2 linked regions of the Neodiprion lecontei genome follow. The protein of the gene in region 1 interacts with the protein of each later gene in a pairwise test. Links are inferred from orthologs where the notes say so. Each region holds a gene or a part of one and is shown on either strand. Other genes may lie near its edges.

The links. The genes of interacting proteins can lie anywhere in the genome.
Region 2: the proteins of cytoplasmic dynein 1 intermediate chain (region 1) and dynein light chain roadblock-type 2 interact in a two-hybrid assay, tested with the Caenorhabditis elegans proteins (3 studies listed by BioGRID). The link is inferred for Neodiprion lecontei from reciprocal best matches to the Caenorhabditis elegans genes dyci-1 and dyrb-1.

What each region holds. Positions count from the first base shown.
Region 1 is NC_060260.1:9,421,380-9,427,263, reverse strand, and holds the start of cytoplasmic dynein 1 intermediate chain, read left to right. Parts: upstream 1-2,387; 5' UTR 2,388-2,544; intron 2,545-2,560; coding exon of another isoform or gene 2,561-2,589; exon of another isoform or gene 2,590-2,791; intron 2,792-2,879; exon of another isoform or gene 2,880-2,957; intron 2,958-3,019; exon of another isoform or gene 3,020-3,038; intron 3,039-3,253; 5' UTR 3,254-3,268; coding exon 3,269-3,370; intron 3,371-3,478; coding exon 3,479-3,575; intron 3,576-3,858; coding exon 3,859-3,964; intron 3,965-4,241; coding exon 4,242-4,375; intron 4,376-5,884. Other genes in the region: proliferation-associated protein 2G4, read right to left, coding at 842-926; MICOS complex subunit MIC13 homolog QIL1, read right to left, coding at 1,462-1,659, 1,748-1,907, 1,969-2,024.
Region 2 is NC_060262.1:42,171,394-42,175,689, forward strand, and holds dynein light chain roadblock-type 2, read left to right. Parts: upstream 1-2,323; 5' UTR 2,324-2,478; coding exon 2,479-2,481; intron 2,482-2,544; coding exon 2,545-2,623; intron 2,624-2,733; coding exon 2,734-2,945; 3' UTR 2,946-3,268; downstream 3,269-4,296. Other genes in the region: XK-related protein 7, read right to left, coding at 1-7.

The sequences.
Region 1 (5,884 bases):
ATATGTTATATATTGCTAAATTTTATCATGCAATTAGCCGTCTCAACTTGGAAAACGAACATGTTCTATGTATAAGTGAAATTCATACTGCTATTCAAATAGGAATTTATTGGAACCACACATGCAGTGAATATGTTTAGTATCATAAAATTTTATTCAACGTAGTGAACACGCAGCCAAAACATCTTTCATTTCACTGCAAGTTAGATAAAAATCTCTCAAGTTCAAACGAATTACCCAAGCTGCTTGTAAGTAGTTCTGAGGGATTAAATTTCGGTACATGTGATGCCGAACATTTGAGAAATTTGATCCAGATGAAGATGGGTAAACTATACTTTTGGTAAAATTAAAAAATCTGATCAATGCGGCTTGTATGAAGGCAACTGGTACATGCGGTAAACAAAGTATTTATTTTTTTTAAGAATACCGAAATAGATTTCTTTGCAATAAACGTATATAAAACTCTATTTTAGTACGCAAAAAAGAGTAAAATTAGACTGTTGTCAATACGAAGTGAAGCCAGGCTTGGTGCATGATTTAGTTTGTATGGATAAAGCAAAGATGTGAAATTATCATCCGGTTTACGTGTTAATCGAACCATCGATTTGGGGTACGAAAAAATAGCTGTGACATATCTAACTAATTAACTATTAATTGCGAAACGACGTGAAAAAGTTCATTAGGCACGACGCCAACCCACATGGCCAGGAGGCCCGGCATTGGCGCGCCACATTCCATATGGCCATCGGTAATTTTATTCGAAACTCAAGAGATTCTCGTTGTTACGGTGGATATTTTATGTTCATTAAAATCCTCATTTTATTCTGCTGTATTTTCTTACGGTTTACTATATCGCCGGCCATCTTATACTTGGTGACAACCAAGTCCTCGGCGATTGTCTTCTCAGCCTCCTCTTTGTCCGCCATGTCTTCTGCACACTGACCGGTCACGTGACACAATTGCTCTTGCTTTTCATCCAAGAATAGATGGCGCTCTGGACCAAAGACGCTCCCGGCGGAACCGGAAACATGGCAACGGAAAATCCCTGACCCGGGAGTTGTGGGGGGAATTTAAAATTGTTTCGATCTAATTCCACGCAGCTGCTGAATATAATCAATGATTTAACAAAGAACCTCCAAAGTATATTTTTCAGGTGGTCTTCTTCGATAGATCTTAAGATTCGAAGTTTTAATGACCTATGTAATGTTTTTCACCTTACTGCGCAATCATCTGTGATTTCAACAACTTTGTCAACTTGGTCTTGTAAAACCTTTCACAACTTCATCGGTAGATCACTAGGGTAAATAAGATCGCTTGTACGACACAGTAGGGTATACGTGAAATAATTCAGGGAGTTGGTTCAGAGTTTGACATCTCCTTTATTTACACATGGAACTATGCATTGCCACTAATACGACAATAAAATAAATATGTTAATTATTTAAAACAAGCATTCAATTCTTAAGCCTGAGCTGGTTTCTCGGGGGTATTGACAGAATCTATCGCACTAAGAATAGCGCCTTTGATTCCACTCGCCTCGATTGCATTAGATGTGTGTTCAGGTAAATTCGATATGAACTTAAATGTTGTAATCACGCCCTTGTTCCATGAGGATTTAACTAAGCACGTAATGTCTGTGACACTAGGCAGTTCGGGAAGCTAGAATAAAATACAGCGCCGATCAATTAATTGAAATTTCATATTCTAACACATAAAACCATAACAATACTCGAAGCCTAAGGTCTACCTCTGTTGCTACTTCCTTGGGAATATTTCTTTTCACGTATGGTGCTATGTTGTTGTACATTCTACCATACAGTTTTACAGTTTCCTCTGGATCGGACCAAAGACCTTCTCGAATTGTGTAATAAGTAAAGCCACCGGCTACGCTGGCCTTCACAGCAAATCTGTAATGTAAACTGAGATGTGTTATTCCATCCTTAATCCAAATTCTGTCTAGTCAAATACCGTGCCAGCAGAGCTTCGTTAAACTTCAATGCATATACTAACCGCAAGACGCCCATTATTTTATCTAACTTATTTTTTTTTTTTTTTTATAATTTACTTTGCAAAGAGCGATTAACGACGGATATCACCCACGCAAGAAGTCGATTATTCGGATTAAATTACATAAATGTCGTTTGTAGGTTAGGTTAAGTTACGTCTGCGATCGGTATCTAAATTCTTGATACTCCGTGGTAAAAGATGACAGCCGGAAGTGAAGAAAAGAAAACACCTTCAAATACTATTTATATATTTAATATTATTATTGTAAAGAAATACCGTCAGATGCAAAAATATTAGTTTTGAATACAAAAAATATATGCGTGTGTTTTCATCCATAATTCATTAGTTGTAATGTCTCCTTTGATTCACAGCGTGGAAAGCGAGTCCGGAGTATAGCGTGTGAAGGAAAATGGATCCGTACGTCAGACGTAACGGGTAAAGAGTCGGTTGACGTTTATAGCGAACTTCTTAGTGATTTTTTTTCTTCTAAAGTATATAATATTCGGTGCTAAGTGAATTTGATTCTGATATTTTAAGGTAAATGATGATTTACTTCGTGATTATTCGGAGCTTCGTACTCATCTTTGAAACTTTCGAACCCGTACGGTTTGCTAGATCGAGCTGCTATCCGCCTGACACACGCTGAGAATTCTAATGATTTTTCGTTTATGGACAAGAATGGAATAGAGTTTACTGACAATACTTTTCTCGTGCTGTTATTAAATATTCCTTCACTTACGTCATTCGTGAATCATAACGTGGCATTCAAGGTGGATACACATAGGTATACATATGCACATATCTATAGGATATGTATGATAAGAAATCAATAACTCTTTACATTTGTGTATCTACCCTATCACGAAAGCGTTGCATTGAATTTCTAAAAGGCGGTCGGCGGTTACCGGTACATTACGAAAATACGATTTTTCTGTATTCAATCCGGAAATGTACGAACATATTGGTCTTAACCCCCTTTCCCATCTAAAATAACGTTTCCTCAAGCTTTTGACAGTTGTCAATGCTATTAGGTACCTGAATCCATAAGAATTTTACTTAGATTTAAACAAAAATTTTCAAACTTTTATGAAATCTGTTTCATGGTTCGTGTTCACCTATCCATACGATACAAAAGGTTCCCACTGAAATTCAGTCACATCTGTTCGTTCAGTGTACAGGGTTAATAAACAAATATCTTATCTTGTTGCAAATATTTACCTACGAATCTTTTTTCATCACAACGAAGAGGGGCACTGCTGCAATGATGTCGGATCGAAAAGCAGAATTAGAACGGAAGAAGGCCAAGCTGCAGGCGATTCGAGAGGAAAAGGAAAGGCGGCGTAAAGAAAAGGAACAAAAAGATGTAAGAAGAAAAATCGAGCGGCAGAACATCACTGATTAGGGATTTCTTCTCACCAGAATATTGAATTCATTCTTCTCTTATTCCAAAATGTGTAATATTTTTTACAAGGTTGAGGAAGCGACTGTACGAGCTGCAGGTGCCGATAAAGACCATCGGAAAGACTTAGATGCCATGTTATCATCCCTTGGGGTAGCACCGGTATCAGGTAAAAAATGCAGACTTTGAAACGTATTTCACGCTGTCGAAAAATTCCTCGTCATACATTATTAGTGGATTTATATTTAAATATTGCAATATAAACTGAATTATAACCATTTTATGTTTGTCAGTTTCTGTGACTAATGAAAGACTATGTTTTGTTCATATTTCAGGTAAATTAGAAAAACCTATCCTCTGCTAAGATCAATGTTTAGAAAATTTCTTTAGTCAGGCTTCAGTAATATTATCTAAAAAATGCCACATTTTATTATACATTTATATGCTTACAGATGTATTATCCAGTCTCTCTAGTATGAACTCTTTGACGCCAGAGCAAAGTGCCAATGCTACACCAGACGCAAGTTTACAACCTTCCAGTATCAATTCTGTTCAAAGGTATTTTTGAAGATTGTGGGCTTCATATTTTATTTGCATAGTGTTTAGTTATTGGAGGTGAATATTTGACTTCGCAATAAAAGGGGTAGAGAGTAAATTTTTCATAACTGTTCAATGTAAAAATGGTATTCCAATTATAATATGTAGATGATAGCTCCTATTGATGGTATTGTTGAAATAAGGTTGAAAATGTATTCGGGGAAGAGAATTTCATTTGATTTTTTGATATTTGATCTGTTCAATAAGACAATTATTCAAATCTTTTATCCGTCTGTAGTATTCCAGGAAGGCGGAAGGCTCCACGTGATTTAACAGCTGTTTCTGTGGCGCATACCGATATACCACCCAAGGAACCTGTGGTATATAGTAAGCAGACGCAAACTGCTCAGACGACGCACACTTCACACGACGGTGAGTCTTGTTTTTAATTATGTTTTAGCATTTAAAATAGGTTTAACATCTTCAATATAATCAGAAAAGACAGGTATTTGGTGTTATCGCACCAATGTCAACCGTACCTTTTCTGTTTTGAGTTCAATATAGCACACAATTGATTTTGGAATGTTAATGCCGTGTACCATTTTGAAATTAAGTTAGTTACAAGGTGAAAGTAATATTCTGTATTTGAAATTTAACCAATAAATTAATATTTTCATTAGTCAGGATTCAGGTTTGAAGTTGTTATGGATTCAATTGCAACAATTGTTGTCCACAACAAAAGAAATTCAAGTTTCGGGATAAACTAACTTGAATCCTGATTATAAAATATTGTTAAGAAAGTTAGCAGCATTCAACTTTGGGATTGAATGACGAATATGGAATGAACTTTGTTTATTTTTTCTAAACAGTTCTTATATCACCTTTTCAATTATATCTAACAGTTTCATGAGCTTTGTGATAATCAGCTCGCGTGTTAACGTAATTTATTAATTTTTTTTTAAATTTTCGTTTTTAATCTCTGTGAAACTGAACCGTACTCTGTTATTAATGACAGTCTATACATCTTATGTGATTTAATTTAGTTAATTTTTATGTTAACTCTTAGGATTTTCTACGATTCTTACTTTTAATGCAAATAATTTTTCGTTATAATTGCATAATGTAACATGCGAGGAAACCTACATATTCACACGACACGTCGGTATGAAGAATTTTGTTTCCCTACCTGTGATATTTGTTTAACACTCCGTCTTTGGTTATAATTTAAATTGAGTCCAGCAATGTTCGCGGAGAGGCATTACATAGTAAAGAAATATCATTCTGATCGGATTACTATTTCATGTCAGAGCTTTAAGATTTTCTAAACAATTGCAGAATTCAGTCACTTCCACTTTATCATGTAACAAAGTAGCCATTTCCATGCATTGTTCAATTGAGCACAATTGAAAATCATTCAAAATTTAATTAGAATTATATTTTCAATTCTGTAACTCGAACTTTAAAAAATATTTCAACAGCTTTAATTCATATTTTCATACTCGTATCAGATTGAATTACAAAACAAATAATGTTATAATGAATTATTTCAAGGATATGTATTACGTATAAATCAATGTCAACAAATTGATAGAGCGTATGAAATTCGATTCAAGATGCACACTTTAGAAGTATAAATACCTCTCCACCACACAAACGTACAAAGACAAGTAGTACATAAAGCAAACGTATGTACAGAGCGGCGAATTCCGGACGCAAAGCTCAAAGGCTTATACTGCCTTGGGATTTTTAAAGAATGTGAAAAATCAAACTCCCAATGAAATAGTTCTTACAAGTTAAAACCTCAGGAATCAGGAATAACTGTTAATAAAAGGGTGGTAACAAATGTAGTAGTGATTCTAGAGTTTGGAATAAAACTTCAAGTAATGATATGTATGATTTGGATTATCAGTATTTGGCATTCAATAATGTTCGTGTTACATT
Region 2 (4,296 bases), on another chromosome or scaffold:
CTGACATGTTGGAGTATGGTAGAATAATCGATCACTGATCAATCTCATATTACACTGTATTACACTGTACTGTACAAACTTTTCTGATGGTTGCGACGCTCGAAGTGACTCCGAGTCGCAATAAGCCGGTATATATATATCACCAATACTCACGAAGTGAAAAAATATCTCGACAAATAACTCTCGCAATGATACGCTATCTGGTGTAACGACGTTTCTTCGAAATTCATCCAGAAGCGTCTCACGCAACCGACACAACCAAATGGTTCACGATCACAAGTTTGGCGGCGCTAACATTCACGAATACGTAATACTGCAGAATTTATCCGCTAACTCAACATTTCAACATTCTTCGACCGCGATCCAAATTATTTAATTTTCTCCCAATGAATCAGCGATCACTTCGACCTCTCTGGATAATAAAAACACAATTCGCAGTGCTTTCTGACACATGCATCAAACTCCTAATACCTAGAACAGCACTTATATTCTTAGCTAGAGCGGTCGACTTGAACTACAACATAATCATATGTTTAACCAAGCCAACGCTCTTTAGCATTCTACTGGCTATTTCTACTCGACTCTAGCTGTGATCAGAAGTAATATCCTCGCACAGAAGTGCTTGCGTAGAACTGCTCATCGCGTTATTTGTCGTAGACTTTCGGTATGCGATCGGCATATTGATTATAAAGCACTGTGCTGACCGTACTGCGTCTTAATCTTCATTGAGAGTTATTAATAATTTTAAAAAATTTAACACTAGGCTTGTATTTTAACGAAGTTAAAGACAGTAAGGTGAATAGTATGGCAAAGGGCGAGAATGGGTTCCAAGGGAACCTCAAAATCGATCGTTCCAGAAAATATAGGTATTTAGATATTTCTGTAACAATCATTTGAAAAAAATGTATTCTAACAGCCACCGGCATATTACGTCCAACGGAATAAGTATCGGAAGAAATTTTTCATTCATCGATTAACAAATCATATACAGATGATTATTCGAATAGATTCTTGACTACAAAGTTCTGTTCAAAGCAATTCAGTGAATAAAATTGAGTAGCTGAAACAGACAAAAAAATTATACTCAGCTTACAATTAGATGGGATAAAATATATAATTTGCAAAAAAGGGGAAAAAATTGATTAGCTGACATAGATAAACGGATGATTAGCAATAACGACGGAAGTGCCTAAACTGACGAAACCTATGTCGAGCCAACCATATCATTCGCGGCAACAGTCTTTCACTACATTATTTCTACTGATAGATACGCTGCGTAATTAGACTAATCCTAGAGAAATACCCTTACCTAAATACGTGCAAACTTACTAACTGACATCATTTACGATAAAATCGATTATTTCTTAATTAAAGTACATACCTTCTAGTTTCATTCGCTATAATGGTTGGTCTAGTTTTCACTTTCTTCTCAGAGATCAATTAATCGGGTTACTTCATTTGGAGCATCGTTAAACGCGATCAATAGTGATACAATGTAGGCTGTCCCTGTAATCAGGTAAGAGAAAACAATATCTGATTACTATTTCACCTTCCAAATTCATACACAGACCATTGGAAATTGACGATTGTTTTTACAAAATATAATCAAGGACTGGATAGCAATAAATTTCAACTCAGAGATAAATTTTTAAATTGAAAGTAAAAGTGGTGTGATAGTATAATCGGGAATGATTTTAAATTCATACCTGTTTTTTATTCTACCACAACATTGTGACCTGTTCAGCTTCTGCATTTTGTTTTCCAACATTTATTGCCAGAGATCAATTGAGATGATCACTAACCTCGATCAATATTGCTGTAGTTTAATTCTGTAATCAGATAAAAGACCACAGCATTTTATTAAAATTTCCTGTCCAAAATCCATCTACTCAGTATTCAAACAGGTGCAATTGGAGTGTTTTATGTATTGTGTCAAGGCTTGTACAATGTTATCGATTACATAATCGAGTAAAAAATGATCGAAATGTTTTATATCTGTTCCTTTTTCAATAAATTCATCAGTTCCTCTCGAAAGTAAGTTTTTACTCGTCAGAAAATCAGGCGAGCTGCGCACTAAACAGTCAAATTTTTACTGAATTACCGTTGCACGCGACGTCATGGCGGTCAAGGCGTAAACCCTGAAATCTCTGTAAGATAACGTTATCGGCAACGCGTTTTTGCATCGGTACATAGACAAACCGGTATTACAGAAAGCTATTATATCAGTCTCCTCGGCCATAAAATCATCGTGAAGTATAGAAAACAATCATTAGCCGCGTGGAGCTTGCCCGTAGTAAATGTATCCGATGCGTTTACGAACACTGGCTATCTTACTACTATGACGTCATCGTAACCTAAACCATTCTGAAAATATCGACTGGTAAGACTGCCCGTTGCCTTGGAAATATACCGTAAAGACGGAAGAGTTAACACTGACGTTTAACAGAAAAATTGCGGTTTGAAATTTAATCTGTAAAGATGGTACGTCAATATAATTCAATGAGTAAATAAATGATGCATCTATAATAACTTCTTTCTCTACAGGCACAAGAAGTCGAGGAAACCATGAAGCGTATTCAATCCCACAAGGGAGTGGTTGGAACGATTGTAGTCAACTCTGAAGGTTAACCATTTCACTGTCTTGTGTATTTTAATTTATTACTGAAAAAACAAAACAAATTCGGTTACTTCTAAAATCAACTAAAATTATATTAAACGAGATAATGATTGTAGGAATTCCAATAAAATCGACGTTAGACAACACGACAACAATTCAATATGCAGGGCTGATTAGTCAGCTATCCGACAAAGCTCGTTCAGTGGTACGGGATCTGGATCCCACTAATGATCTCACTTTCTTGCGAATCCGAAGCAAGAAGCATGAGGTGATGGTCGCCCCGGATAAAGAATTTATACTTATAGTTGTGCAAAATCCTGTCGATTGACAGAATAAATAATTTTTGCATTCTTTTTGCGCCTTGCATGCAATTTTGTAATACATAATTTATATGAGCAACACTGCTCTAATTAGATACTAAAAGTTAATTTAACTGAGCACGCTGCTAAAAATTTAATACCGTTCTTCTCGTCATCTCACATTCTCTACTGCTCTTGTCAAACTGTTGGCACAATTTTAAATAATTTATATACATTAATTGTCCATTATCTATTGTTTATAATTTATTTCAATGTAAAAAAATGTTGGTGAATTTAAAATTGTTGAGTGTATGTCGACGATATTTGATATAAATAAAGTTTATTATAAATACATTTGTTGTTATTTGCGTAATGACTTTGAGTATGTATCAAAACGACATGCACTTACATTAACGATATATTTACAATTCACTAGATTCTTTACAACTGGGTAGAAAGTAAAGTTTCGTCAAAATTGACAAATACTTGAGCTTTGAAATGCGATGGAGATACAAATTATAACTGTTTCAACCTTTAAAGTATTCATTCACATTACGATATTGTTCAAAATGACCTACTATGGCATTTTTTAATATAAGCTGGACTAGATTCTATGTAAATCATTAGTAAAATATCACTCAAGAAAAATAAATCAGATCAACAAAAAAAAATTATTCAAACACTGAAATGCAGCTGGGTATGATTTTTACCCATATCAATGATTGTACGAATAAGGCATACTTCACAATATTATTAAGAGTTAGCAGGAACTTGATATTCCAACTATTTATACCATTATTGTAATCACCTCACACAAGAATATTTGTATAATATAAATATATACATGTGTACTGAAGGAGCACGTAAGTCAGCCTTCTACTTAATCTATTAATATTCCACCATCCCATCTTTGTGCCACTTTTTGCAAAAGGATATAATTTTATAACTAGAGCTTACTAGAAGAAGTCTTAGGTTTGCATGTTTTTATGGGCTTCAAAGATAAAATTCTTAAAAAATAATTCTTAAATAATGTATGTGTAATAGCAGAAAGAATCTAATTAGAGCCACCCTATATATTTATATCAGAACATATGTCACGTTGTAGATTCAAATACCGTAAATTCGATTTACTGTAAAGTGAGAGCGCTTCAATTTTTGAAGTTAATTTTCTAGGTGTTCACGACCTTTTGAAAACTAAATTCTTCTTCAATCCAATTATCATCCAATCAAGTTATGTAATATCAATCATTTGGATACATTGTTCGATTGTGAAATTAAACTTCATTGGAGTACAAGAAGAAGATTGATGGCAACTAGGTATACTTGTTTCACCATATCTTTCTGCAACCAAATTTCGAAATGATTTGATGGATGAGTTGC